3 linked regions of the Tamandua tetradactyla genome follow. The protein of the gene in region 3 interacts with the protein of the main gene of each other region in a pairwise test. Links are inferred from orthologs where the notes say so. Each region holds a gene or a part of one and is shown on either strand. Other genes may lie near its edges. The genes, in order: P4HA3, AHSP and ZC3H12A.

Region 1 (10,471 bases), on a different chromosome or scaffold from region 3:
GCATCTTTTACTGGTGGGACCCGCAGACAGACAAGTACCACATACTGGGCAGGATAAGAAAAACAGAGCCCAGAGATTTCACAGGAAAATCTTTCAACCTGCTGGGTCCCACACCCAGGGAAATCTGATTAAATGCGCAGATGCCAGCAAAAAATAATGGATCACACCAGGAAAATTGAAGATATGGCACTCAGTCAAAGGAACAAACCAATAGTTCAAATGAGATACAGGAGCTGAGACAACTAATTCTGAATATACGAACAGAAATGGAAAACCTCTTCAAAAACCAAATCAATAAATAAATCAGACCAAACTGTCTTCATAGGACATGAAGAAGACATGGGCTGAACAAAAAGAAGAAATAGAAAAATTGAAAAAACAAATCACAGAGCTTATGGAAGTGAAGGATAAAGTAGAAAAGATGGAAAAAACAATGGATACCTACAATGATAGATTTAAAGAGACAGAAGCTAGAATTAGTGAACTGGAGGATGGAACATCTGAATTCCAAAAAGAAACAGAAACTATCGGGAAAAGAATGGAAAAATTTGAACAGGGTATCAGGGAACTCAACGACAATATGAACCGCACAAATATACATGTTGTGGGTGTCCCAGAAGGAGAAGAGAAGGGAAAGGAGGAGAAAAACTAATGGAAGAAATTATCACTGAAAATTTCCCAACTCTTATGAAAGACCTAAAATTACAGATCCAAGAAGTGCAGCGCACCCCAAAGAGAATAGACCCAAATAGGCGTTCTCCAAGACACTTACTAGTTAGAATGTCAGAGGTCAAAGAGAAAGAGAGGATCTTGAAAGCAGCAAGAGAAAAACATACAAGGGAAACCCAATAAGACTATGTGTAGATTTCTCAGCAGAAACCATGGAAGCTAGAAGACAGTGGGATGATATATTTAAATTACTAAAAGAGAAAAAGTGCCAACCAAGACTTCTATATCCAGCAAAATTGTCCTTCAAAAAAGAGGGAGAAATTAAAACATTTTCAGACAAAAAGTCACTGAGAGAATTTGTGACCAAGAGACCAGCTCTGCAAGAAATACTAAAGGGAGCACTAGAGTCAGATACAAAAAGACAGAAGAGAGAGGCATGGAGAAGAGTGTAGAAAGAAGGAAAATCAGATATGATATATATAATACAAAAGGCGAAATGGTAGAGGAAAATATTATCCAAACAGTAATAACAAAAATGTCAATGGACTGAATTCCCCAATCAAAAGACATAGACTGGCAGAATGGATTAAAAAACAGGATCCTTCTATATGCTGTCTACAGGAAACACATCTTAGACCCAGAGATAAACGTAGGTTGAAAGTGAAAGGTTGGGAAAAGATATTTCATGCAAATAACAACCAGAAGAGAGCAGGAGTGGCTATACTAATATCCAACAAATTAGACTTCAAATGTAAAACAGTTAAAAGAGACAAAGAAGGACACTATCTACTAATAAAAGGAACAATTAAACAAGAAGACATAACAATCATAAATATTTATGCACCGAACCAGAATGCCCCAAAATACATGAGGAATACACTGCAATCACTGAAAAGGGAAATAGACATATATAACATAATAGTTGGAGACTTCAATTCACCACTCTCATCAGTGGACAGAACATCTAGACAGAGGATCAATAAAGAAATAGAGAATTTGAATATTACAATAAATGAGCTAGACTTAACAGACATTTATAGGACATTACATCCCACAACAGCAGGATACACCTTTTTCTCAAGTGCTCATGGATCATTCTCAAAGATAGACCATATGCTGGGACACAAAGAAAGTCTTAGCAAATTTAAAAAGATTGAAATCATACACAACACTTTCTAGGATCATAAAGGAATGAAGTTGGAAATCAATAATAGGCGGAGTGCCAGAAAATTCACAAATACGTGGAGACTCAACAACACACTCTTAAACAATGAGTGGGTCAAGGAAGAAATTGCAAGAGAAATTAGTAAATATCTCGAAGTGAATGAAAATGAAAACACAACATATCAAAACCTATGGGACGCAGCAAAGGCAGTGCTAAGAGGGAAATTTATTGCCCTAAATGCCTATATCAGAAAAGAAGAAAGGGCAAAAATTCTGGAATTAACTGTCCAATTGGAAGAACTGGAGAAAGAACAGCAAACTAACCCCAAAGCAAGCAAAAGGAAAGAAATAACAAAGATTAGAGCAGAAATAAATGAAATTGAGAACATGAAAACAATAGAGAAAATCAATAAGACCAGAAGTTGGTTCTATGATAAAATCAATAAGATTGATGGGCCCTTAGCAAGATCGACAAAAAGAAGAAGAGAGAGGACGCAAATAAATAAGATCAGAAATGGAAGAGGAGACATAACCACTGACCTCACAGAAATAAAGGAGGTAATAACAGGATACTATGAACAACTTTACACTAATAAATACAACAATTTAGATGAAATGGACGGGTTCCTGGAAAGGCATGAACAACCAACTTTGACTCAAGAAGAAATAGATGACCTCAACAAACCAATCACAAGTAAAGAAATTGAATCAGTCATTCAAAAGCTTCCCCAAAAGAAAAGTCCAGGACCAGACGGCTTCACATCTGAATTCTACCAAACATTTCAGAAAGCATTAGTACCAACTCTCCTCAAACTCTTCAAAAAAATTGAAGTGGAGGGAAAGCTACCTAATTCATTCTATGAAGCCAACATCACCCTCATACCAAAACCAGGCAAAGATATTACAAAAAAAGAAAACTACAGACCAATCTCTCTAATGAATATAGATGCAAAAATCCTCAACAAAATTCTAGCAAATCGAATCCAACAACACATTAAAAGAATTATACATCATGACCAAGTAGGATTCATCCCAGGTATGGAAGGATGGTTCAACATAAGAAAATCAATTAATGTAATACACCATATCAACAAATCAAAGCAGAAAAATCACATGATCATCTCAATTGATGCAGAGAAGGCATTCGACAAGATTCAACATCCTTTCCTGTTGAAAACACTTCAAAAGATAGGAATACAAGGGAACTTCCTTAAAATGATAGAGGGAATATATGAAAAACCCACAGCTAATATCATCCTCAATGGAGAAAAATGGAAAACTTTCCCCCTAAGATCAGGAACAAGACAAGGATGTCCATTATCACCACTATTATTCAACATTGTGTTGGAGGTTCTAGCCAGAGCAATTAGACAAGAAAAAGAAATACAAGGCATCAAAATTGGAAAGGAAGAAGTAAAACTATCACTGTTTGCAGACGATATGATACTATACATCGAAAACCCGGAAAAATCCACAACAAAACTACTAGAGCTAATAAATGAGTACAGCAAAGTAGCAGGTTACAAGATCAACATTCAAAAATCTGTAGCATTTCTATACACTAGCAATGAACAAGCTGAGGGGGAAATCAAGAAATGAATTCCATTTACAATTGCAACTAAAAGAATAAAATACCTAGGAATAAATTTAACTAAAGAGACAAAAAACCTATACAAAGAAAACTACAAAAAACTGTTAAAAGAAATCACAGAAGACCTAAATAGATGGAAGGGCATATCGTGTTCATGGATTGGAAGACTAAATATAGTTAAGATGTCAATCCTACCTAAATTGATTTACAGATTCAATGCAATACCAATCAAAATCCCAACAACTTATTTTTCAGAAATAGAAAAACCAATAAGCAAATTTATCTGGAAGGGCAGGGTGCCCCGAATTGCTAAAAGTATCTTGAGGAAAAAAAACGAAGCTGGAGGTCTCACGCTGCTGGACTTTAAGGCATATTATGAAGCCACAGTGGTCAAAACAGCATGGTATTGGCATAAAGATAGATATATCAACCAATGGAATCGAATAGAGTGCTCAGATATAGACCCTCTCATCTGTGGACATTTGATCTTTGATAAGGGAGTCAAGCCAACTCACCTGGGACAGAACAGTCTCTTCAATAAATGGTGCCTTGAGAACTGGATATCCATATGCAAAAGAATGAAAGAGGACCCGTATCTCACACCCTATACAAAAGTTAACTCAAAATGGATCAAAGATCTAGACATTAGGTCTAAGACCATAAAACAGTTAGAGGAAAATGTAGCCGATATCTTATGAAACTTACAATTGGAGGCGGTTTTATGGACCTTAAACCTAAAGCAAGAGCACTGAAGAAAGAAATAAATAAATGGGAGCTCCTCAAAATTAAACACTTTTGTGCATCAAAGAACTTCATCAAGAAAGTAGAAAGACAGCCTACACGATGGAAGACAATATTTGGAAACGACATATCAGATAAAGGTCTAGTATCCAGAATTTATAAAGAGATTGTTCAACTCAACAACAAAAAGACAGCCAACCCAATTACAAAATGGGAAAAAGACTTGAACAGACACCTCTCAGAAGAGGAAATACAAATGGCCAAAAGGCACATGAAGAGCTGCTCAATATCCCTGGCCATTAGAGAAATGCAAATCAAAACCACAATGAGATATCATCTCACACCCACCAGAATGGCCATTATCAACAAAACAGAAAATGACAAGTGCTGGAGAGGATGCGGAGAAAGAGGCACACTTATCCACTGTTGGTGGGAATGTCAAATGGTGCAACCACTGTGGAAGGCAGTTTGGCGGTTCCTCAAAAAACTGAATATAGAATTGCCATATGACCCAGCAATACCATTGCTAGGTATCTACTCAAAGGACTTAAGGGCAAAGACACAAACGGACATTTGCACACCAATGTTTATAGCAGCGTTATTTACAATTGCAAAGAGATGGAAACAGCCAAAATGTCCATCAACAGACGAGTAGCTAAACAAACTGTGGTATATACATACAATGGAATATTATGCAGCTTTAAGACAGGATAAACTTATGAAGCATGTAATAACATGGATGGACCTAGAGAACATTATGCTGAGTGAGTCTAGCCAAAAACTAAAAGACAAATACTGTATGGTCCCACTGATGTGAACAGACATTCGAGAATAAACTTGGAATATGTCATTGGTAACAGAGACCATCAGGAGTTAGAAACAGGGTAAGATAATGGGTAATTGGAGCTGAAGGGATACAGACTGTGCAACAGGACTAGATACAAAAACTCAAAAATGGACAGCACAATACTACCTAATTGTAATGTAATTATGTTAAAACACTGAATGAAGCTGCATCTGAGCTATAATTTTTTATTTGTTTGTATTTTTTGTTTTTTCTTTTTCCTTTTTTTTCTTTTTTATATTTTTTCTATTTTTATTTTTATTATTATTTTTATTTTTTTCTCTATATTATCATTCTATATCTTTTTCTGTTGTTTTGCTAGTTCTTTTCCTAAATCGATGCAAATGTACTAAAAAATGATGATCATACATCTATGTGATGATATTAAGAATTACTGATTGCATATGTAGAATGGAATGATTTCTAAATGTTGTGTTAGTTAATTTTTTTTAATTAATAATAAAAAAAAGATAATGTCCTTTTTCCTGCTTCTGTGGATAGCTTGTGGTTTTTACCTTTATAAGCCCCCCCTTGAGAACTTCTTGGGGCTACTCTCTGATTCCTCCTTCTTGAGTTTCTGAGGCAGTCGCCAGTGGGCTAATAAAGACTCCTAATTGGCTTGCAAATTGCTTTGACTTGTGTGGTCTCTCTTTTGGTGCGCCCCACAACACTTAGGCGGGTGAATCCATGGCTCTCTTTGCCCTCTGCGTCAAATTTTACCATGTGTGAAATGGGCACACAGGAAACATCTTCCCAGGGCTGTAAATGAGTGGCGGGCAGGCGGAACTGAGATCGCAGGCCCTGCCCCTCAGTCTGGGGCGCTGAGGGGCAGGAGAGTGGGAGCTGGCAGCTAGAGGAAGCGGCGGGGACAAGGAGTGAGTGGGGTGAGGTAGGGTGGGGGAAGGAGCGAGGCGGGGTCAGCGGGCGGGGCCAGCGGGCCGGGCGCGGCCGAGGGGCGGGGCGCGGCGGGCGCGGGGCCGAGCCGGGTGGGCCGCCTGAGGAACGCGCGAGCGCCGGCCATGGGCCCCGCGGCGCCGCTGGAGTTGCTGCTGGCGTCGCTGCTGGCGGTCGGGTCCGGGAGCCCGGCGCGGGGGGACACGTTCTCCGCGCTGACCAGCGTGGCGCGCGCCCTGGCCCCCGAGCGCCAGCTGCTGGGGCTGCTGCGACGCTACCTGCGCGGGGAAGAGGCGCGGCTGCGGGACCTGACCAGGTGAGTGCGTGCGCGATGGTGGCGACAGAGGGGCGTGAGGGTGGGAGGCTGAGTCACAGGGCGAGCCTGAGACGCTGTGCGACCCCAGACTCATTGTCACCTGCGTGGGACCTGGGACCCGGTGTCTTGCTCTGAGACAGGCACCGTGATATGGGGTGGAGAGTGACTCAGGCTGTGTGACCCAGAGCCGTTGTCACCCTGTGTGGGACTCTGAAGCACTGTGGCACGGAGTACTGGGGAAATTGAGATGGAGTATGACCCCAGAGGCGTTGGGTCACAAACTGTGTCAGACCCCAGGCTCTGTCACACACCTACAGTGACACCCCGGATTTGACGTCACACAGTGAAGTTGATACACTGAAAAAGTGTGGTGGGGGTGACTCTGAGGCCACACACGACCTCACAAGGTGCTGTGTCAAGCTGTGTGGGACCCCAAACCAAGACAGATTGATGCAATGACATAAAGACAAGGGCGAGAGAGAGATGGTGAGATGGCAGTGACACCGTGGCCTCACAAGTATTGACCTTGTGAGTGGACACTGAGTGGGCCTTCTGAGAAACACTATGTGACCCAGCAAACCTGTGTTTAGTATGAGGAGTCAGGTGTGGTTCTGTGACCTTCTGCGAAATCTGTATGTCAGGGGGACTGAATGGGCATGACACTATGGATATCATGCTATGCATGTGAAAGATGCTGAATCCAGGTCACTATACGTTCATTACTTCATTCAACACAGACGTTTGAGTGTCTCCTATGAGCCAAACAAGTTCTAGGCACTGGAGGTAAAATTGTGAACAAGACCTAACCTTGCCCTAAAGGAGCTTGGAGTCTGTAGTGTCATAATTGTTAATCAGAGAGGTCCATCTCTTCTTTGTTTTCAACTCTCCCTTCTCTTTACACATGGTAAGAGCTCCCTAGCTTACTGTTTAAGTAAGAAAAGAGATGTTTTTCTGTGCTAAAGTATTTGACGTTGTGAAAAACCTTACGTCATGCTGGAAGATACTGAGTAGAGCATATGCAAGCAAATGCTCATCAATATTATTTTGCTATACAGTCAACAAACTCTAGTGGTACACACTATGGGATAAAATATTTTAATTCTTGGGACACTGTAATCATGCCTTTTCTGCGACATACTATGAAAGATGAATGACTGTATATATGATACCATGTGTATGAGTGTATGTTGTGCTTCTGTGTCATAAAAGCCTGTGTCTCTGTGCTTGGGGCATAAAGTCCATAACACAGTGAGAAACAGTGGTTCCGGCATCACTTTTAAAGTATCAATATTTTATGTATATCATGGGAATATAAATGATATTCTGCTGGAAACAACTTGAGAGGAGACAATAGATGTTTCACAATGCACTGCTTATAAAACTGAAAGTGAGTGTAATTGCTATATGATAGTAATAGTGATTCTAGGGCATCATGGAAAGAAGGTGGATGTGATGTTGTGCGTAAGGGAGCCCGTATAGAAGATTCTAAGTTTGTGGAGGTGTGTGTGAAAGATCTTATTACTCGATGGTGACTGAATGATGATGTGACCTTATAAATGGTGCTTGCCTATAAGCAGTTTGTACCTGTTTAAATGTACTGTTAGTTTGACTAGGTTTATATGTAGAGAGAGAGAATTATGTGAGTGTGTATTAATTTTGTTTAACAATAAATGTATAATAATTTAAATAATTCTTGTTACCTCTTTGGAATACATATTGCTTAACATTCTGTGGGTACATGTTTATAGAGAAAGATATTTTAATTTTATTTTTAGTCCAGGATCACCAAAGTCCAAGTTTATTGATTGAAATGGAACATATTTTGTAAATTTCGGAACCCAACATGCTCCTTAGTGCCCGTGAGTTTGTTTTCATACCCCAGTCCCTTTCCCTGCATGGCTCAAATGGAGATGCATGTCAGAATCCTGGGCTGGGTCCATCAGGGAAAAAGCTCCAGAGAGAGCTCTTGCAACATTGTCCAAAGCAGCTGGTCAGGGGGGCCCCTCTGCATGCCTGTTGTGTCACTGTCACAGCTTTGTCGCACACAGTCCTTAGATAAAGGTTTGTATTTCTCTCTTTTACCGTGATAAGCATGTATTACTTTTTTTTAACATAATTAAAATATGAGAAAACTAAACTTCATAGAGATAAATGAGCTTGTCCAAGATTATAAATTTATTAGGTAGCATATCTAGGAGTAGAACACAATTTTTTTTTTTGCTTTTAATTGTAATAAACTATACATAACAAAATTTACCATTTCAACCCTTTTAAAATGTACAGTTCAGCAGCATTAAATACATTCATAGTGTGGCACAACCATCACCACCGTCTATTTCCAGAACATTTTCATCCCAAACAATAGAACACAGTTGTTTTGACTGTTAATCCGATTCTTTCCATCATGCTATGATATCCCTGCTGCTTGCTTTATGTTATATACCAGGGTGACAGACTAAGCCCAAAACTACCTGAGGTTTTATGAGAGACCACAGCGCACAGTGGGTCGAGTCTGGATTCAGGAATTCAACAGACCTCTGTTTGAATCCCTGGCTCTGCCTTAGGACAAGTTTCTTTAACTCTTTAAAGCTTTGGTTTTCTAATCTGTAAAATGATGAAAGTGATGGTACCTAGCCCCATGGAATTGTTGGGATGATGACATGAAATTAGCCGTGTAAGGTATTTATCATTGTGCTTCAAATATAATAACGCTCAACGTTAGCTCTTTGTGATTAAGGTTTATTTCTTTTAAGTCTGGCTGGTGAAACTAGTTGCCATATTTGGCTTTAAGCATTATCTAGAATTGTGAGGGTCCAGATAGTAAAAAAGAATCAGAAGAATTACAGATTCTTTAGCAATTCCTACACCTTTGTTTTTGTAAAGTTTAGATGGATAGCTTGAGGAGTCTGTCATTCTGTTCTCCAGTCAGTGCTTTGAAACCTAGTGAAATGTTTGCCTTTTAAAGCAAGAATTTTGGCTGTTCTTGCTCATTTTTCTATACTCCCAACTGGTGATCTTATGTAACTTGAGATGTTATTTCTAATGGCCTCAGTGTTATGGGTCTTTGAGTTTTTAGGTTGAGAAATGAAATATTTCTTAAACTTAAAACTACACACTACTCCCAGTTATCGAATGAAAATTACACTAGTTATAGAAAATAAAGTTTACCCCTAATTTTTTGTTACAGTTTGAAAAACCACCAAGAGGATAAGAGTAGTATCAGCAGCAATTATTTCTCTGCTAGGAATTAAGCATTCAGAATGTTTCGGAAGAACTGAGACAAAGACATTTTCGAATTCTAAAAGAGAAACATTGAATTTAAAATGCCCAAGCATTGCTATTGGATAACCTTGCCAGGCTATATTTAATGCAGGGATTGAGTTGCAAATTTTTTGTGTAGATTCTTAAATGAAAGAATCTGATTTTCCACTCTCAGCAGTATTTGTTTTGCAAAATTTGTGTGTATGTTCTTAAAGGAAAGGATCTGATTTTCCACTCTCAGCAGTATTTGTTAAAGCACATGCTATTTAGAAAGCCCTGAAGTTTGAATTCAGCATCTTGTTACTCCATCTCTGGAAACCAGCTATTTGCTTCGAGACTGGGCATAGCTCCAACATTTGGATTCCAAACCAGCCTCATATATCAGTTGACAGGCTTTTCTCCTCTTTGTGCAACAGAAAAATGGTGTATCTGAGCACTGGATTGAATTGATGAGCAGTAGTAGAGGTCAAACCCCTGACCTACACAAATAGAACCCCATAATGCAAATTGGTGGGATATAAAGAGAACAGGAAGATAGAGAAGTAAGCTTTTGACTGTTGGATGACTTAAGTCAAATGTTCTCCTCTCTTCCTTTGCCTCACTTTCCTCTGATTCCTGTTAAACATTAGTTCTCAGGCACTAAATGTGGAATTTATATATTCATTTGTAGAAAAGGTGATAGGATGGCAAGGCCTAGGAGTTGCTTCCAGGAAATCTCTTTGTTGCTCAGATATGGCCTCTCCCTCTAGGCCTAACTCTGCAAGGAAAGTCATTGCCCCCTGCCCCCGTGGGACCTGACATTCAGGGGTGAAAATCTCCCCATGGCGCATGGCTTCTGGGATGAATCTGGTCCTGGCACCCTGGGATCTACAAAGCCTTCTGGACAAGGGGCAGGAAACAGGTATAATAAAATAAGGTATCAGTGGCCAGGGGAGATCAAATGGAGTCATGAGGTTATTCTGGAAACTATTCTTATGTAAGCTTCAGTTAG
Region 2 (9,680 bases), on a different chromosome or scaffold from region 3:
AGCACCGGGACTTATGTGGCAATTAGAGGCATGGGAGCAGGTCAGTATAATCTACCATTAGGTGCTGTAGTTACTCTTCATTCACAATCAAAACGTTTTTCTTCCTTCTAATTCTGGTTAATTTCTCAGCAGAAACAGTAATGGATTTGGGGTACTCACTGCTTCAGTAACTTTAATTTTGTCATTATGGACCATCAGACCCAGGTAGTTCATAACACCATCATTGAAAAATAAAATTATTCCACATTTTACTTAGATCTAGGTCCAGACATGAGAACACGGTGTGCAATTGATAGACTTTGGCTCTAAACACGTTTGACTACTTCTCAATTTCATACACTCTGACAGAATGGCTCGAATGGCGTTTAGATGTTGAGTTTCCCATCCACTGTAGGAATCTTTTCTACAGCATTCCCCATAATTGGTCATCTTCCTTTGACTGAGCACTTTAGGGACTGTTGGCTCACCACCTCCCAAGGCAGGATACTTTAAATTGATGGAAAGTTATTAATTAATTTAGCCAGAGTGACTTCGGGCCATTCTTCTAAAGCTCGCTCCATATAGCAAGAGTAAGCCTAATAGTTTTTCATATGCCCCTACCCATGTACACTACACCAGCTCTGCTTGCAAAGGCGGCGTTTTTGAATACTGCCTCACCTGGGCGGGCCCTGGGTCCACACTAAAGGACTGGGATTTCCTGAGGCACGCTGTGGGGAAGGCCTCGGCCTCCACCAGGGACACCGACCACACCTCAGAGGTTCTCGCTGCCTGGTTCTCTGCGAGGTGGCCATCCTCTCGCTGGGTCTGGGGCCTCCTCACACCCCTAAGCTGGAAAGATGGCTGGGGGCACTGAGCCCGTCCCCTTTAGACCCTGGACTAGACTGCCTAGACTGCCGGCGCCCTAAAACCAAAAACCGGAGGTGGGGATGCACAGAACCAAAGAGAACGCCCGCTGAAAGTGGGAACAAGAGAAACACTCGCTGCCCCAAATTTTCCCCGCGAAAGCAACAATACAGAAAAGGACAGGGGATCTCCCCGCCCCCTTAGCGGGGCGCGCGCTTTGCGCGACCTGTGATTGGCCGAATCGTGGTGCGCCTCGCCCCCCCCTCCCGCGCGCAAGGCCCTTTGCGTCCTCCGCGCCTGCGCCCCCTAACCTCCACCCACCTCCAATCCTCCCGGCTTCCGTGCCCCTCGGGCTTTCCAGGGAGACAGGGCTGCCGGCTAGTCCCCCTTAGTATTCTCCCCAGCACTTTCGTTTCGTTTTTTAAAGGCTCGTGCGTCTGGCTCAACCCTGGTTCCACCCCCTCTAAATCCTAGACTATAAAGATTTAGGGTCTGGAGGTCGGGGAGAAAAAGGTCTAGTCTGGGGAGTGGAGGAGCAGGTTAGGGGCAACGAGGAAGGTGGGGCGAGCTAGATGGTTACCAAGAACTCTTGCAGTTCTAAATTACCCCGCTACGCTGGGACACCTGGGAGGAATTTTGCTGTAGTCTTTAGAGTCAGAAAGTCCTAGAATTTTGCTCAAACTGGAGCTAAGGGTAGGGAACTGAAAAATTGAGGCGGTGGGTGCTTCATTCCTTAAGACTTCCAGCAACTTTCTGCAAACAAGCCCATCCCAGGACTACAGTGGCAGGAGAGCTTCTATCCTTCCTTTTCTACCACTCCCGACCCCCAGCTACCTCCTGCCCCCACCTCATCCCCAGCACGTTCCCTTCAGACTCTGTGTGTTAGGCCCCTCCTCCGACCCATTTTAGTACTGGCTGGTGGTTATCTGGGATTGGTGACCTCTGCTCTAAGGAATTAAGTCTCCAAGGGGAAATCTAGGAAGTAGGGCTGAGGGAAAAGGACTCCAACTGCCGCTACAAGTGGGACAAAAATTGGAAGAAGATCCGAAGACCAGCAAAACCAGTATTTGTCTTTATTGAGTGGGAGTGTAGAAGCAGCGGAAGAGCAGAGCCCAAGGACCTGAAGGACAGAGCCAGGACTTGAGGGTTTCTTAGAGATGAAGGGCTGGTCTCTGGGCTAGGAGGAAGGCAGTGGGCGATTTGGGTGCTCACAAGGACTTCAGGAAGGCCCGGTATTTGGCCAGGAAAGGGTTAGCCAGAGTATTCAGCTCTTGCTCAAGTTCCTGCAGAGCCCTGTCCTGCTCCTCCTGCTCCCCGACCATCTTCCGCCTGTAATAGGTGATGTAGAAGTTCACCCAGTCGCCCGCTATGGTCACCATAGCCTCTTCAGAGATAGGAGGATCAGGGTGGACCTGGGAGTAGAAGGGGAAGAGAATGGGATTCGAGAATTTCTTCCTTTCATTGTTTCCACCAACTCCACCCTTACTCTCCTTTTTCTGCCCTCACCCCCACCTCTCCACTGGTTTCCTTTGAAACCTAGTACTGGGCTTACCTGCTGATCCAGCAGAGCATTAAATTCTCTCATTGCTTGGGAAATGAGATCCTTGTTGGCCTGAAGAAGGGCCATCTGCCTACTTAGAGAAAAGAGTTTAAGTATCCTCCTCCCTGCCCCTGGGTATTTCCCCCAATCCCCTCACTCCCCTGAAAGATCCCTGGTGCCCAGGCAGGGCCACCTCCTCCCACTGCTTCTTAAATCCCCCTCTGCCCTGAGATATTATTTCTCCCCAAAGTGAGCTCACCTTCAGGCCCAATGGTGCTGTGTCTCACCTACACTCCCCAGGGATGTAGGTTCCTCTGTGACAAGCTAGGTTGTAGGCAAGGAGACAAGTGTCTGCCTAAGAGGGAAACGCCCTGTGTCTAGGTCCTGATGAAGGATGATAGGTCAGTTGAGGGAGGAGAAGGAGGGAGAGGCTTCCCTGACGCTAGGAAGATAGCAAGACCAAGAAAAAAAAGATAAATGAGGAGATCCAGAAAACGCAAGAACCAAACCAGGTTCAAATCCTTGCTTCTGCCCCCTGCCCCCCATCTCAGTACCCAGGCTCCAAACACACATTTATTGAGATCCTATTACATGACAGGCTCTCTTAAGGCATCACAACACCATGATGACAATTATTCTCCCATTTCATAAATATATTAATAGCTTACATTACACTAATTCAGTAAGTGCTTCCTTGTTACGAGCATGTATTAAGTTATTCATCCCTGTAAAAACCCTTTAGGTAGGGACTGTTATTAGCCACATTTGGCAGATGAGTCATAAGAAAGGGAGTTGGACTCTGTCAGTCTTCACTCCCCAAGAATGGAGATGCATTTGTCTTGTTCTCCATGGTATCACCACGTACTCCACAAAATAGAAATGCCCTTTTTCTTCCTTTTAAATGTTTTCCCAATAGTTTCCATTTTTAGCAGATGTTTTTCAAGTTTTAAAATCACTACATGTTGGGTGGGCCACAGTGGCTCAGCAGTCAGAGTTCTCACCTGCCATGCTGGAGACCCAAGTTCAATTCCCAGTGCCTGCCCATGCCAAAAAAAAGAAAAGTCGCTACATGTTCATTGAAATAAGTGACGCAATACAAATCTGTCCACTGGAAAAGTTGATCATTTTTCTCCCTCCACCTACTAAGGTAACCAGCATTAACAAATATGTTTCCTGGCACAGCTTTCTCCATTCAAAAACCAACATTCATAAGCACCTATACTCTCAGAGGTTTGTTGATTTACTTTCTTTGTTTAGGTGTTTTCTTAATTAACAAACAGCAAAGTCATCCTCTTTTCTGGTGTATAGTTTATGAATTTTAACATATGTAGATTCATGTACCAACACCACAATCAGGGTATAGCAATTGCATCACCCCAAGAAATTCCCTTATGCTCACTCCCACACCCACCTGTAAGCCCTGCCAACCACTGATCTGTTCTCTGTCACTATTTAGTCACTAGGTTAGTCTTTTAAAGAATGTCATGTAAAGGGACTCATACAGTCCTGACCTTTTGAGACTGATTTCTTTCACTCAGCATAATACCTCTGAGATGCATCCAAGTTGTGAGTTGTTCCCTTTTCATTGCCAAGTAATATTCCAGTGTGTGGGTGCACCACAGTTTGTTTATTCATTCACCCATTAAAAGACATGGCCTCGATTGTAGGCAGTTTAGGGTGAGTAGGAATAGAGCTGCTATAAACATTTGGGTACAGGTTTTTGTGTGAACATATGTTTTCATTTCTCTAAAATAAAAGTATGTATTACCAGTGAGAGAGAGAATTACGATACAATCTTAGTTTGCCGAGGCTGCTATAACAAAATGCCATAGACTGGTTGGCTTAAATATCAGGAATTTATTTTCTCACAGTTTTGGAGGCTAGCCACCCAAAATTAAGGTGTCAGCAGGCCGGGCTTCTTGTGACATCTGTAGCATTCCGGTGGTGGATTGCTGGCAATCCAAAACTTAATTTCTGCCTCCATCACAGCTGTCTCTCTCCCTATCTGTCTCCTACTCTCCTACTGTGTCCAAACTTCCCCTGTATCCTAGAATCCCAGCCATTGGGTTAAGGCCCATTCTGTGTCAGAGTAGCCTCACAAATGGGTTCATAATCACAACACAAGGGGTTAGAACTTGAACCTGTTTTGGGGGTTGGGATGGGAGGACCTGATTCAATCCATAACACAATCTGACGAAGGACATGTGTCCAAAATTTATATTAACTTTTACAACTCAATAATAAGACAACCTAATTTTTTCAAACAACCAAAAGATTGGAACAGACATTTCACAAAGATATACACATAGCCAATATGCAACTGAAAAGATGTTCAACATCATTAATCATCAGGGAAATGCAAATTAAAGCCACAATGTGGTACCACCACACATCCACTGAATGACTAAAATTTAAAAGGCCAATTAGGTGTTGGTGTTGATGTGAAACAACTAGAATTCTCATACATTGCAATAGGAGTATAAAATGGAACAAACAGTTTGGAAAACAGTTTGACTATTTCTTCTGGAGTTCAACATCCACTTACCATATGATCCAACAATTCCACTCCATGAGAAATGAAAATATGTCTACAAACATTCTCAGATTCAAATGTTCATAGCTTTATTCATAATAATCCAGAACTGGAAATAACCCAGATGTCCGATAACCAGTGGATGGAAATAAAAATTATGGTTCACACTGAAATACCACTCAGCAACAAAAAAAGAACAAACTGATGGTCCCCGCTGCAAAATGGGTGAATCTTAAATACACTATGCTGAGCGAAAAAAAACAGACATAAGAGAGTACATGTAGCATGATTCCATTTCTGTGAAATTCTAGAATAGGCAAAACTAAGGTCTAGTGACAGAAGGCAAATAAGTAGTTAACTAGGGCTGGTATATGAAAGTGGGGATTCAGTTGCAGAGATGCCCAAGGGGAACTTTTTGGGGTGGTGGAAATACATATATTGATGAAAGTGAAAAGCACTTTCACTTGGTAGGAGTGTAAAGTTTTTAGAAGAATAATTTGGCAGTATTTAGTCAAAATATTCATACCCTTCAACCTTGCAATTCTGCTCTGGGACTCCTTTTTTTTTTTTCTGCATAGTCAGGCACCAGGAATCGAAACCAGGTCTCTGGCACGTGCAGGCAAGAATTCTGCCTGCTGAACCGCCATGGCCTGCTCATTTGGGACACTATTTTTGAAGAATATTGAAGAAATATCAATATTCTATGCACAGAAAACCCTGTACAAGAAATCTACCACACCAGTTTGTAATAAGGAAAAGGTCGAAACAACCTACAGGTCCATCAGTATGGGGAAATGTCAAAGAAATTATGGCACATTCATAGCATGACATTACATGCAGCATTAAAATAAATGTGACAATATGAAAATATCCTTAAGTCAAATGTTAGGTGAACTATAGATAGAGCAGCCCACCCAGGGCTGGGAGTACAGGAGTGGGGAAGCATTATATATTTCCATATGTGTATATATATGTATGTATATGTATCTTTGCATGTGTGTATACAAAATGATAAACAATGTTTACTTGGAAGGGACTGGTTTGTTTGGGAAATGGAACAAGGGATTATTGTCAAGGGAAAATTTACCCTTATCTATATTATCTGAATTATTTTATGACAACAATGTATCCCTCTATTATTTTCTAATTTTTAAAAAAAGAATACAGAACAAAAAAAGGAAAGAAAAAACAATGATAGTGTAGTTTTAAATTTTCAATCCTGGAAATTGAAATTTCCAAGTGCTGGAAAGTATAGTCATTGCTCACTAAAATATTTGTTGAATAAATAACTGCATGATTTTGTGACCTAGGTGAAGTAGTCTGTAAAAGGGTACTAAAATATACCTAACTTATGAGAGCTGTTGAGAAAATAAATTCATTTATTCCACAATTACATATTAGGCACTTACCTATTAGACACCTACCAGGCACAAGTACAAGGCACTGGAAATATACTGTAAAAGAGGCCCTCCTGAAGCATATATTCTGGGGTGGGGTGGGGGGTAAAGTGGGGTGTTGGAGATGTGAGAGGGTGAATGGTAGGGGTGAAGCCTAAGAGGGCAGAGTCAGATCTGCAGGGCTCCATGGGTCATGGCAAAAAGTTTGGGTTTTCTTTTCAAGTGTGAAGAAAAGCCATTTCAGGGTTTGGAGAAGAAGAATGTTGCAATCTTCTTCCAAAAAAAGCAATAGGAAGGCAAAGGAATTTTAAGCTATGTGGAGAGTGGACTGTAGCAGGGCAGGAGGGAAAATGGAGAGCCCAATCAGAGAAAAAGTCAAGGAGATGAGGAGTGTGGAGTATTCCTCCTATTGCTTGGTATACTATGGGATACCAGGATTTGGGGGCAGGATTTAGGACTCCAGAATCCTTATGGAGTAGGGGAAGGTGAAATATCCATCACTCATCTCTTTGTCAAGAAACTGGTCTGATTGCTGGGGTTACAAGGAAGTGTATGTTAAGTCTCTGTCCTCAGTTACTTACAGTTCACTTGGGAAGACAGGACATCTGTACTAAATACATACAAAAACAAACGGCTCCAGGCAGCACTTGCTAAGGGCTGAAAAAATACTGCAAAGACAAAAGAACCAAGTTCTGAGTGCAGTGAGGCCAATGTGGTCAGTAACGCTGCAGGGGGTACATAAATACTGTGACCATATATATATATATATATCTCCCAAGACAGCTCCATTTTAGACCTGTTATTCTGACATTAACAGTAGTGCCTCCTTCAGTGCCACTCTCGAAAGACCTAGTTTAGATAATAAATTGTATGGTGATACGAGGCATGAGGACTATTTGACCTGCCTCACATAGAGCAAAAGGCCTCAAAGTTGGACACTTGGAGTTATCTAGAAAGAATCATAGCCAGCACTTAAATAGCATGTTCTATGTGCCAAACACAATTTCATAGCCTTACACATATGACTCATTTCATCTTCATCCCAACCTTGATTGGAAGGTATTAGCACTACTGTCAGTTTACAGATGAAGAAACTGAAAAACAGCGAGTTCAAGTAACTTGCCCAAGATCTCACAGCTGTTAAGTAACAGAATCTGGATTCAAACTGTGACCCTCTGATAGCATTCATTTATATAGGTTGCCCTCCGAGTTCTCTTAACCACTAAAGTGTTATCACAACAATGCCTCACAGAAGGTAACATTTAAAACATAACACACTGTTTGTAACCCTTCAATTTTTCACTTTAGTACCAGGAAACTAAAAAATAAGATAAAAATTGCAGTGCCCCAGGCCTATCTTGGCCTCAGAGGGACTGTGCTTAGGTGTCGGATAGGGCGAGAGGGAATTGAGGATGTATCAGGCTGAAAGGTCCCTGAGGATGGAGATAGTTTGGAAGAATCAGAAGTTTGTAGAAGGGATGTGGTCATTCAGTTGAGACCAAACTGTTCAGGTCTGAGAATGTCAAGCTAAGGAACTAGGACATATTATTTTCTGAAAGAAAAAGGAAGCTTTCGGCAAATTTCTACTTTGGAGTCAGCATATTGCACTGAATGGGAGGAAAAAAGGGAGGGTGGGAAAGCTAAAGTGAAAGGAAGGAGGGAAGGAAGCACTGTGTCTTTAGACTTTCTCCGATTTCATGGAAACCTCCTCCCCCACCAAATACACACACAGGCACTTCTTACCTATTTCTCTTCTTTCCTGATAGACTACTACTGCAATCCCTTGATTGCCCAAACCCTCGGATAAGGACCTCGGGGTCCTTCAGACATACTCCTCCATCCAGGAGGCTCTGCAAATTCTGTGAGAATTTTTAGTGGAGGCCATAGACGCCTAGAATTTAAAGAAAGTAAAAAAAAATTGCAGCTCAACAGGACCTCGGGGATCATCTGGTCCAGCGTCTCATCATTCACTCGTTCATTCATTCATTCATATCTTTTGCGCACCTATGTGTTCGGTACTTGAGATAAAAGGACTAAAAATATATAATACTCCCTAGTATGTCAAAGAATCCCAAAGAGGAATACTGACTTGCCAAAAGTCACACAGATAAAAGTTTTGTGGCTGAACCGGGTCTCAAACACCATTTGTTCCCTAGACCCTCTTTTATTTTCCCCATAACCGGACATTGCTGGTTACAGGAATTCAGATTCGTCTCTGGTCAAAGAGCCTCCATTTCTCCCGTGGCCCAGCTACAAAGTACTACATAGAACAAGGGTCGCGACCGGCCCTGGGTCCGAGGTGGGAGCCCGGGAGGACAGAAAGGGTAGTCCGTTTCCAGGCCCGGACAAACCGAGACACAGGGCCTGGCCGCCCTTTTCGCGGAGGAAGACTGCCCCTCTGCAGCCGCCGTAGCCGAGACGGAAGCGGAGCCCGCCACGTATTTCATCTAGTGGGACTCGAGCTAAGAGATCCGCAATGGCTGAGCATACAGGTCTTGAGGCCCAAGTATGCTCGGAGCGGTTCGGCTCCGGGACTGCCCGGAGCTGCCGTGTTGCAGCCGACGGGAGCCTGCAGTGGGAGGCCGGGGAGTGGCGCTGGTTCTCCGGGGCCTTTACGGTGAACCCTGGAGGACGAGAAGGGGGTGCAAGGGGGGCGCTCCGGGCTGCCTCACTACCTCTCTCGGGTCTCCAGGCCGTGTTCCTGCCACAGGGTTTCCCTGACAGCGTCAGCCCGGACTATCTGCCCTATCAGCTGTGGGACTCCGTGCAGGTCAGCGTGGCCATCTGGGGCGGGGGGGGGCTCATCGTCGAGGGCGGGGAGAACAGTGCCGCGCCACCTTCCCCTCCCCATTTACAGACGGGAGTCTATGGCCCAGAGCGAGACGCGAGACGTGACATCGCACGGGTCACACACTAAGGAGAGCCGTTAACAGAACTTAGACCTCCATGTTTCTGCCTCCACCTGTCCCTCCCTTTCTTCTCTCCTCCAGGCCTTTGCGTCCAGCCTCTCGGGCTCCTTGGCCACCCAGGCAGTCTTGCTGGGCATAGGGGTGGGGAATGCAAAAGCCTCCGTTTCAGCTGCCACAGCTACCTGGCTCGTGAAAGGTGAGCTGGGCCCCCAAAGCCTCATTTAGCCCTACATTCAGACCTACCCTCTCTCTGGTCTCCTTTTTTTATTGCAAAAGCCCAGCCCTTCCTCTGCTCCTCTGCCAGTGTCCTAGGCGCTAGCTCTCATCTGTGATAAGTATATTTGTGGATTCGGGCCTGATAAGGTAGAACACAGGAGCCAAATCTTCCCACTACCTAGAACAGTGCCTTGTATCCCAGCCGTATCGCTACTCCCCATATCCACATCCCACCCACCAGC
Region 3 (11,060 bases):
AGCAAGCCAACTATGGCACATTTATTGGCCAATGATATCACTAACTGCCCTTCAGAACGTCTGGCAGCACATGAGCCACACACGCGCGAGTTGCGGGATCCTAGGAGGTAGGTGTTCACTATGGCCACCCCATCTGCGCATGGCCACACTGACTACACGAGATCCTGCATTGGTGGCCACGTGAGACATCATCTCAGCCCCTCATGAACACGTGATTCTGTGGCTAGACCTGGACTACTTGCAAGTTCATCTGTGTTCAACTCTACGTCTCCACTCCCTGAATCTTCATAGATGGCTCAGTTGAAGACTCCAGGTGGGCCTCGAGTTCCCTCTCACCTCTGAATTTTCAGGTCTACAACTGCCCCCTTTCAGATGCAGGAGACATCCATGATCTGGATTTGGTAAAGAGGATGCAACAGAGGTGTACACAGCAAACATAGCCCAAACCACCCCAGCTCTCTCGGATATTGGCTCACCGAGCATTAACCAACATCCATACCAGGTACTGTGCCAGGGGCATGGTGCAGAGACCCGGACCCAGTCTTCCAGAGCCACGGTCAGCTGGAGGTGATACCCACACACCTCTATAGTTCAGTGGGGACAGTTCAATGAGGAAGGCAGCAGGAACCCTGGGACAAGGGCAGGCTCCTTCCTCCTACCAGCTCAGAGGACAAGAGTGCTTGCTTCAGCACTCTCAGCTCCAGGGCCACCCCAGCTGAGTTCCTAGTCTCTAGAACCTGGGGATGGCTAGGAAGTCGAGCAATTTCTACTGCATCCCTACAGCCATGTCCTCAGATTAGGGAGTGTCAATCGCATACTGGGACCCCCGCCCCTCTTCACATCCTCAGAACTGTGCAGAAAGAATTCTCTGTGGCCCCTTCACTGAATTGACTTTGGCACAGGGGACAAGGGAGGCAGGCAGACTCAAGCTTCTGGCCCACCTTCAGACCCACCTCTTCCATATAGGATTCTCTTGTTACGGAAGTACTTAGTGAGGCCAAAGCAGAAACTTCCACTCCAAACCACTCTCTCCACCGGATGCCCAAGGTTCCCTCATTCCTTGGAGGTAAGTCACCAATGATTGAGAGCACCTGTGTGGGTCAGATTTCTATCTCTGCATCAAGTTGGATCAGAATTAGAGCGAGTGCCTAGGATGGAGGAAGCCTGGCTAGTCCCATTCTCTGCACTGTGGCCAGGGACAAGCTTCTTTCCCTCTCCACTCCCTATCTATAAAACAAAGGGATGGGGCTAAGCAACCTCTATGGAGCTTTCCAGCTCTAGCTGTCTGGAATGTGAGCATTCAAGGGCCCAGAAAAGAGGGAGCAGGAGAAGCTGGGGGGAAACGGAGGCAGAGGGACAGGGGAGGCAGGAGGGTCATCTGGCCTGGGCCCCATAGACAGGAAAGCCCCAAATTTAGACATGATTGTTAATTTCAAAAGGGATCACAGTCAGTCACAGAACATATATACACCAAGAAGACCAAATAAAGACATTTGGTCCCAACACGGAACCATACCACCTGTAAGACCCATGAAATTATATATATCACACCCACATCTAAACATGTATGTTTTTTTAATTCACTCTTTTATTCTGGAATAAGTTTAGCTTTACAGAACAGTTGCAATGACAGTACAGAGAGTTCCCATAAACCCCACACCTACTTTCATTTTCCCCTAATGTTATCATCCTACATCACTGTGGTATATTTGTCAAAACTAAAAAAACCCAACACTGGGTACATTACTGTGAACTCAACTTCAGAGTTTATTTGGATTTTACCAGTTTTTCCATTAGAACCCACTTTCTGTTCCAGGATCCAACTCCGATTATCACGTGGCATTTAGCCAGCCGTGGCTTCACGGGCCCTCTGGTCTGTGACCATTTTTGTCTTTCCTTATTTTTCATGGGCTTTGGAAAGAACAGCCTAGAGACGAGACGCCCCCTCTCATCATATCCTCTCCAGGGACCCGTGATACCCACATGACTGACGTTGACCTTGATCTCTTGGTTAAGGTGGTGCCTGCCAGACTCCCCCACTGCAAAGAGACTATTTTCTCCCATTCCCTACTCTATTATTAAGAAGGAAGTTACTAAGTACAGCTCACAGAAGAGGGGAGGATGGGGAATTAGGCTCCACCTCCTGGATGGAGAGTTTCTACATATATTATTCGGAATTCTTCTATAAGGAAGAGCTGTCCCTTCTCCCTCATTCATTTATTTATTCAATAATGTATTTATATCCATATGGACTCATATTTATTTTACACTTTGGGTCATAACCCAATACTACTTTGTTTATTTTTTTTACCCTGATTGTTACAGCTCTTTTGGCTCCCGTGGCCTCTTTGGCAAGCCCTCATTCTTTTGCTTCTGAGCACTTCTTTACTCTCTGGAACTATAAAATGCTCCAGGCACATCTTTTCCCTGTCCCGGCCCTAAAATCAGTCATTTTGCCTAGGCAATAATATATTTTTAAGCAAATCATCCAATTATCCCGTCAATAGTCCAAATATATTGTGCAACTGTTGAGCATGTGATGAAAATAGCTAATTTGCTCAATTGTGATTTAAAACATACCTTGATCTTTGTAGCCCTGCATTAACCAATATTTTAAAAAATATTTCAGGAGCCTCAAAACATGGGAGGGACCTGGCCCTATCTCCACTTCCAAGAGTCCTTGTTGAATGTAACCATCACCTCTACTGCCACTTCGGTGAGGCTCAGGCCAGCCCTGCCCACCCCTCCCCTCCCCAGCCTGGGCTACCCAAAAGAGCAAATCGAGGCAAAGGTGAATCCAGAGGCCCTTCCCTCTCCAGCCTCCCTGCCTTCCAAAGGGAGTTTCCAGTCCTGGAGCTCTGCAGACCTCGCCCAGGCTGGCGAGGCAAGGGCAGGTGGCAGGAGGGCAGGTAGGCACCAGGAAGGAAGTTGGCAATCCACCTGATGGAGATGAGCAGGCAAAAGGGGAGGTGCATCATTAGACTTCAGAGGATTCCCGGGAATTAGAGTTCAATTTAGCAAAATCCAGCTGGAAGTAGAACCCAAAGCAACTCTGGGTTCTGCAGAAGAGAGCAGGAAGAGAGCGAGACCATGGCTCACTCTGGGAGGGCAGGGAGTTGTGTGACTCACAGCTGGGTCCCACCGGCTCCCACTGGCATGGTGCTGGGCAGCATGAGATCTGGAGGCCCGGGCAGAATCCCAGCCGGGTTCTGGCCCCAGAGGTGGTCCCAGAATGGCAGTTAGAATACAACCCGTAGGGACGGAAGCAGGGTGCTGTGGGAACAGTGAGTAGGAAGCAACTCACCATCTAAAGAGTCCAGGCAGGCCTCGTGGAGGTGGTGTCATCATCAAAATGATGAATGGAATTGGCCAGGCAGCAGTTGGGAAGGAAGGAGGGGAGGACACTCCTAGCAGAGGAAGAAGCATATGCAAAGGTAAAGAAGCGTCTGCCAGGCAGTTGGCAGAGTACCTGCCACCTGGTAACCACTCAATAAATGTGAGGTATTGTTACTGCAGTTGATTAATCATGATTATTAATCTGAACATGCTACAAAGTGTTTTTACTATTGTCAAGGTAGCTACTACAATGAATGCATGCTTAATGTCACTGAGCTCTTCTCATCTATAAAAGAGGCTATTGTGCAGATTAGAAGTACAGCGTGTCCGGGGTTCCCCTGGAGTGGTTGCAATGCATGAGTGGTGCCCACCATCATGAGTGGGCTAGCATATAGTAGGTGGCTTGTGTTCCTTTCAACTCAGCCTGTCAGGCACAGATGAGGGAACACTTGGCAGTCTTTGAAGATGACCAGGCAACAAAACAGGCGCCTGGCTACGCTAGGTCAGGCCAGCCTAGGACAGCCTCAGGTCCTGGCTAGAAATGCACTCTGTGTCCTCTTCGGGGTCTCCCATGGCCTCCTGGAACCAGCAGACATAGACCTGGAGATAGTCTGCCTTGGAGACAGCTGTGTGAATTCCGGCTCTACCAGCTCCCCAACTCTGGGCAAGTCTCTTCATCTTTTTGAACCCCTGAGCTTCAGTTTCCTCAACTCTACGAGAGCATTAGGACATACAAGAATATCCACAGCCTACTCTTTATATTAGCAAAAAGAAAAAAATTAATTTTTTTCTGTTTTCTTTTTATTTCTTCTTCTGAATTGATGCAAATGTTCTAAGAAATGATCATGATGATGAATATACAACTGTGTGATAAAAAAGAATGTTCATATTGTATGTTGATTGGTTTTATTAATAAAAAAATTTTTTTAAGGTTAAAAAAAAAAAAACACCAAAAACAAAACTAGAAATTACCCAAATATCCAAAACAGGAGAATGGATAGTGAGTCATAAAATGGAATACTACACAACAGTGAAATAAATTAATTATAGCTACAAAGAAAAGAGATGGATCCTTAAAAAGTCATATGTGAAAAAAAGGAAACCACAAAACAGAATGATTCCGTTTACATAAGGTAGGAAAAAAAAATGAAAAGCAAATCTAAACAATACATTATTTAGGGAGCCATACAACCGTGGTGAAACTAAAAGAAAACCAAAGATGATTAGCCTAATTAAAACAAAATTCAGGAAAGTAGTTCTTTAGGAAGGGGAGGAAGTTAAATTGGCAGCAGTGGGAGAGGAGGCCAGACAACCTCTGAGGTACTGATTCTGATTAATTTTTTTAAGTTAAATGATGGATACACAAATGTTTTATTATTACTGTAATTCCTTAAGCTGTGTGTATATAGTTGTGTATATAATGTCTTTTACAATAAAAACAAAATTTGATTGTAATACTAGTGCATACCTTAATAGGACACCTGTCTACTATAAGGCAGAGATAATGCTTGGAAACTACTGGCACACAAGGACTCTGTTTTGAGAGCTTTGGCTCTCTTGGCCTCAGTTGCCCCATCTGCAAGGTGAGCTGATAGCACTGCAGAAGCTTTGTCCTCTATCTTGTGTGTGTTTGCACACACGCGTGCGTGCACACGTGCACACACACACACACACACTGGGAGCCTCTTAAGGGCAGGTGCCAGACCCTTCCCTCCTACCAGAGTAGTCTCCCTTCTGTCTCAGGTCACATGAGCGGTTGTGGCAACTGGTGTACTGGAATAGGAGCTCCGGATCCCAGTTCCGTGTCTTTCTAGTTGAGGCAATTTAGCCTTTTCTGAATTTGTTTTCTCATCAGTAAAAGGGACATACTAACCTCTAACTCCCTCACCTCAGCCCATAGGTGGATACTGTAAAGTGCATTACTTACATAAGGGGTTACGACCAATTGATCTGGGAACTTAAAAGCATCCTCAGGGAGGTGTTTCGTGCTGCCTCTGGGGATTGGGGGCGGGGTGGGGGAGAGCGTGACGTCAGGTCTGGGTTTTGAGTGAGTGTAGGATAGTGTCTTCTGTGCTGGCTCACATGGTGATGGTGTGAAAGTACCTACCTTTGCCTGGTTTTCCACTTCAGTCAGTGTCTCTCTGCTGATTGCACCTGCCTTTCTATCTTGGTACTTACTGCAGAAAAAGTCTACCTGGCCCCGGTGTGGCTCCCCCTCTGTGTACCTGCTTCAGTCAGGGTGTGTTTACCTGTGGAATGTTCCTGTTTCAATCTGAAAAGTGCCTGTCAGGGGGAATCTGTCTCGGTAACCATGGACTTACCTCCAACAATGCGTGGACCTACCTGTGTATGCGATCACTTCATGTGTACCTGGCCGTACTTTAGTCTGTGGGAGTGTACCTGGGTGTCCCTCTCTCAGTGGGGGTGAGCCTGTTGCCAAGGGTTCCTAGATCTGAATAGATGTGGCTGGACCTGTCTTGGCATCGCTATACGCACCTCGGCCGGCCCGTACCTGACTCGGTGCATATACCTGGCTCGGCCTGTGCTTACCTTACGCCCGTGCGCCCTTTCCTTCCTAGTCTCATCGCCCCGGGGCCTTGGGGTAAGAAGAAGGGGCGGCGTCCCAGCACCCCCAGCTCCACCACCGCCCGCGCGCCCGCCCGGCACCCCCCTCCCCCCCGCCCCCGGCCCCCACTCAGCCGGCGGGGGGCGGGGCCTGGAGGCCGGGCGGGGCGGGGGGCGGAGCAGGAAGGGGCGGCGGCCGCTCCGCCCCCTGGCGCCCGTCGTCTCCCCCGACCGGCTCTCGCCGCCTTTGCCCGGCTTCCGCGTCACCGACCTTAACGCCACCTGCCCGCCCACCCGCCCAGTATAAAGGCGTCGCCGGTCTTGCCCAGAGGACTCGGCCCCATGGAGACGCCGCTGGCCGCGGCTGGCGCACGGCGGGGTGAGGCGCTCGCGGCGGGGAGGGGGGCGCGGGCCTCGGGGTCTGCTGGGAGGGCGGGGCGTGGAGAGGGCTCGGGCCGGGTCCTGTCGGGGGTGGGGGCGGGCGGGGGCCAGTCACCCCCGCCCCGGGCCGCGTCAGTTCTCCGGAGCCCCTCCAAGTTAGCCCAAGTTGGAGGAACCCGGGGTAGGGGGCCCAGGTCCGGGTGGGGGCGCCCAGCGAGCGCGGGTCTCCCGGCCCGCACAGCCTCCGCGTCACGGCGCCCGGCGGCCAACCAGAGTTTCCCAGCAACTTTTTTCTCCGGTGGATCGCCCCGAAACTTCTCCTCCCCGGGGCGGGAGGCCGGCCGCGGGCCCTGCCGGCCCGCCGCAGTTGGCACCGAGCGCGGGGCGGGTGGGCGGAGGCGAAGGCCTCCGCGGGGAAGCCCCCGGCCTCTGAGCGCACTTCCAACGCCTGGTTTCCATCCGAAAACCCTGCCCCGCCGATGTGGGGGGCGCGGCGAGGTCCTCCAAGGCCCCCGCGGCCTTCTGGGTCCCTGGGTTGACACGGGGGTGGGGTGGGGTGGGAAGGTGGAGTGGAAATGCCTAAATTCACATCCTCAGGCCACCCGTTAACAGCTGTTTGGCCTTGCGCAAGTTCTTAAGGTCTCTTTGCCTCAGTTTCCTCCTTTATAGAACGGGAATGGTAATCCCTAGCAGGGAGAGCCCGGACGGCTGAAGATGGTGATGGTGATGGTAGGGGGCGCGGGCAGCAGAAGGGGTGGGAGCGAGCCCCAGTTCCCATCCCTGACCTCTGTGGTTGTCCCACAGGAGCTGCGGCTGGTCCCTTCCAGGAGCCTGAGCTATGAATGCTCCCTGTGGAGAGAGGCCCATCCAGGCAGCCAACCCCACCATGAGTCTGTGGGAACCTGGGGATGGCCACAGCTGGCAGGGTACCCCCGAACCCACCCAGGAGCCCAGCGCCGAGGAGGCATCCGCTGCAGAGCTGCAGATGAAGGTGGATTTCTTCCGGAAGCTGGGCTACTCGTCTGCTGAGATCCACGGAGTCCTGCAGAAGCTGGGGGTCCAGGCGGACACCAATACGGTGCTGGGCGAGCTGGTCAAACACGGGTCGGCCGCCGAGCGGGAGCGCCAGGCCCAGCCGGACCCCTCCCCGCAGCTTCCTCTTATCGCGCGGGGCGGGGGTCCCCCCAAGTCCCCCAGCCTGGAGACCTCGCCCCCTGAGGAAGAAAAGGAGGGCAGCGACTTGAGGCCTGTGGTCATCGATGGGAGCAATGTGGCCATGAGGTACGTGCCACTCCTGTGACCAAGACTTATGGTCAGTGGCCAGGCAAGGTGGCCACGTGTCCCTGCGGTTCTGGTAGAGAAAGCCCTTCAGGGAGGGGTTGACATCTTCTCATAGCCTAGTCTGAGGAAAGGAAAGCCCTTCGCCGAGGCCCTCCCTCAGGCTGGCGGGCTCCCTCAGCCCTCCCAGCTCCTTGACGTGGGTTTGTTTGGGATGTTTTACAGAGGTGCGACGGCTTTGCCCACAGTCATACTAGTGCCAAGTGGTGGGGTGAGGATTCAAACCCAGGTTGTTCTGTCTCCAGAGGTCATCTACCAGTCTCACCTTGGGTGCCACCACTCCCGGGCTCAGTGACCCCTGACATGGGAGGCACGATGGTCTAGTGGGTTTGAATCCCAGCTCATTCAGTGGAGGAGCCAGTCCCATAACCTGTCTGAGCCTCCTCTCGTCTATAAGAGAACAGCTTTACCCACCTCCCAGGGGGCCTGGCGACTAGTAAGCACTCAGTACATTGTGGGAGCTGCTGCTGTTATTCAGGGGCTGGGGCCTGTGGAGTTGGCTGGTCCCAGACCTGGGCTACCTGTTAAGTGGGCCCAACTGCTGAGGTCTCTATGGCCATGACCGGGAGTAACCTCAAGGCCGGATCTGGCTCTGTCACTGGGGGTGTGGGCGGGTGGCCTGCTACTCTGGCTTCAAGTGAGCTGTGATTTGGGTCCCTCTAATTCAACAGGAGCTGCCTGGACTGGACTAGGCTCTACAGAGCACCTTGGGCCAGTGCTAGAACTCAGCCCTAGCAACTCCCAGCGCCCCCCACTCCCACACCCAACACCGTCTCTCACGGGGAACAGGCTGGGGTGGGGACAGAGGGTAAGACACTGTTGGCCCCAGGGAACCCAGACTTCTCCCTTTGCTCCAGGCCCCACCCTCTGGGTCTGCTTTCTCCCCGTTCCCTTCCAAGCTGGCCAGTGAGTCAGGCAAGGCTGGGCAGTCTCTCACGAGGAAAAGTTCCTGTCGGGGTGGCCTGGGAGACCCCAGACCTGGGGGTGTAGAGTGGGGGAGGGTTCCTTCCCTGGCCACTCTGAGGGATCGCCCAGGTGGGCTGTCTGAGGCGGGCGTGACGTCAGTCTCTGCCCCCAAAGCCCTAGGCCCCTCCCACTCCCGACCCAGCTGGGGCAAGTCTGCTGGCTGGTCCTGGCCCGAGCCCTGCAGACATGCTGGTGAGCTCTCTCACAGCCACCCAGATCAGCCCTGTCTCTAACATGGCCTGAATGTGGGAAGGAGGTTGAGAAAAACAGGCTCCTACCTGCCAGGGGACAGCTGGTCACAGCCTGAGCTTTGAGAGTTCAGGGGTCCATTATTGGGCCCCAGCAGTGTGTGACTGGGCACCGGAGTCGCTTTGGGGCTGTTCCCTTCCTTTGGGGGCCCTGGACTGGGAATGGCTGAGCCCTCCGGGCCGCCATGGCCATGTGCTGTGTGTGTTTGTATCCTGGCAGAAGGAGGAGGGGCCTGGGAGGGAGGAGGGGTGGGTGATGGAGTGGGAGGAAGGGCTACAGAGGAACAGGTGCCCCAAGAGGCAGAGCTGCCGGGGTTTTCTAAGCTGGGGCAGTGGCAGGAGGGGAATTCCAGCCTCAAACTTCCTGTCTCAGCTGCTACTCGGTTCCTGCCCGGCTGTCCCCTCCCCCCCAAGGGCAAGCAGGCCAGCCCCCACCATATGCAAATCGTGGGGAAATTCACCTTCTGTTTCCTTCTAAGGGAATTTTTCTCCACTCACCGGGCCTCGGGCCTCGCCAGGGCAGATCTCACCTGGAGAGCTAGTCCTGGCCCAGCCCTGCCCTCTGTCCTGGAGTCTCTCACCCGCTCACATCAGTGTCTGTTAGCCAGGCTGGGGGGGTCCCGACTTTCTGGGCAGGCAGGATGGCGGAGGGGTGGGAGGATGCCTGGTTTTCCTCTGCAAGCAGGGCTTCCTCTGTCCCTCAGTGACAGGGACTAAAGTTAAGCTGGAGGGAGGCCTGGGAAGACAGTGGCTGGGCTCAATTTGAGGGACTAGAACCTGTTTTCCCCGTCTACTGAGAGTAGGGCTCTGCAAGAGTTAAGGGTTGATACAACTTTTAGTTTTGGCAAGAGTAACAGCGAACAAGTAAACTCATATACTGCTGCTAGAAGAATAAATCGGTTGAGTCCCTTTGGGAGGAAATGTGGCAGTATCTATAAATGTTTATAATATAGGTATCCTTGAACTCAATAATTCTTCTAAGAATGCATCCTATAGAGACGGTATATTTACAGATATATTCACTGGAGCATTATTTGTTGTAGAAAAAAAAATCACTGTGGCTAAACAATATTCAGCCTTAGGGTACTAGTCAAATAAAATAAGGGGCATTTCTATACAGTGGAATATTTTTGCAATTTTTAAAAATGAGGTAAATCTATGTTATCTATATCCTCTGTGTACATATATGGATTTATGTGAAAAATATGCATTAAAATCTTTTGGAAGTTTACAGAAAAAAAACTTCTAGGATAGGGGAGTATGACTAAGTTACGAAGAAGTGAAAACTTTTTATGCTCTTCTGTAGTTTGTTTTTTCAAAACCCAGGTGTATATATTCTACTTCTAAAAAAGTCTTGGAGAAAAAAAAAAAAGTCTTGGAGAAAGCCTATCTTATAAAAATAATTAAACCTGCTCCCCCGCCAAAAGAATAGGGCTCTGACTACCAACAGAGGAAATACTCCAGAGGCTGGTGCTGCTGAGAACAGACTTGTCCCCAGCTAGGGTTTGTAGTGCCTGGAGGCAGTACACTGTTCCGGAAGCCCTGGCATCCCATTTGGTCCCAAGGCTTGAAGGCGCTGGCCCAGGATGAGGCATATGCGTATAATGTATGTGTACAGGGGCAGGCCGGTGGGTGCGTGTACGGATTGCATGCCTGATGAGGAGGGGGAGCCAGGCCAGAGATGACCTCACCCTCACAGCCTGGCTGGGAGACAGAGCAAAAGCCACCCCCTGCCCCCGGGAAAGGGGTCCCAGTATAGGGGAAGCACTAGGCATGGTGAAGACACAGGCCAGGAACCTGCCCCATCCAGGCTTCTCAGAGGCAGTGACACCCCACTTGGCTCCTGAAGGAGGAGCAGGAGCTGGTGAGATGCGTCCTTTCCCCTGTCGCCATGTTTCCAGCCTGCCCCTCCCTCTTGACACTCGTGCCCCAGTTCAAACTCAAGTTTGGGAACTCTTTTCTCCCAAATAAACATCAGGCTTTGCTGTTAGGAACAGAAGGGCCACCCGGTGTCTTCCTTACCGCCAACCAGGTGACCTTGGACAAGTCAGGGCACCTGGGTTCCCTGCACAGTGGCAGTCAGTGTGGGGCGCTGCTCGGTGATGCACCTAGCCACCCGCCGACAGTCCAAGCCCATCGACTCCCCGCCCCTTCCCCAGGTGCAGGGTTTGTGCCTTGAAGGGTGCCTGTCTGGGCACCTTCTCTGCTCCACCTCCACTGCCCTGC

What was found.
Region 1: the proteins of ZC3H12A (region 3) and P4HA3 interact in binary tests that used the Homo sapiens proteins (3 or more experiments, as listed by UniProt). The two-hybrid records come from large-scale screens. The link is inferred for Tamandua tetradactyla from reciprocal best matches to the Homo sapiens genes ZC3H12A and P4HA3.
Region 2: the proteins of ZC3H12A (region 3) and AHSP interact in binary tests that used the Homo sapiens proteins (3 or more experiments, as listed by UniProt). The two-hybrid records come from large-scale screens. The link is inferred for Tamandua tetradactyla from reciprocal best matches to the Homo sapiens genes ZC3H12A and AHSP.

Annotation. Positions count from the first base shown.
Region 1 is NC_135334.1:71,394,621-71,405,091, forward strand, and holds the start of P4HA3 (prolyl 4-hydroxylase subunit alpha-3), read left to right. Parts: upstream 1-6,028; coding exon 6,029-6,219; intron 6,220-10,471. UniProt on the Homo sapiens protein: Catalyzes the post-translational formation of 4-hydroxyproline in -Xaa-Pro-Gly- sequences in collagens and other proteins.
Region 2 is NC_135349.1:23,060,737-23,070,416, forward strand, and holds AHSP (alpha-hemoglobin-stabilizing protein), read right to left. Parts: upstream 2,814-9,680; 5' UTR 2,643-2,813; intron 2,478-2,642; exon of another isoform or gene 2,475-2,477; 5' UTR 2,471-2,474; coding exon 2,396-2,470; intron 2,256-2,395; coding exon 2,052-2,255; 3' UTR 1,894-2,051; downstream 1-1,893. Other genes in the region: RUSF1 (RUS family member 1), read left to right, coding at 8,790-9,083, 9,304-9,418. UniProt on the Homo sapiens protein: Acts as a chaperone to prevent the harmful aggregation of alpha-hemoglobin during normal erythroid cell development. Specifically protects free alpha-hemoglobin from precipitation.
Region 3 is NC_135328.1:187,838,775-187,849,834, reverse strand, and holds the start of ZC3H12A (endoribonuclease ZC3H12A), read left to right. Parts: upstream 1-6,209; 5' UTR 6,210-6,280; intron 6,281-7,086; 5' UTR 7,087-7,120; coding exon 7,121-7,563; intron 7,564-11,060. UniProt on the Homo sapiens protein: Endoribonuclease involved in various biological functions such as cellular inflammatory response and immune homeostasis, glial differentiation of neuroprogenitor cells, cell death of cardiomyocytes, adipogenesis and angiogenesis.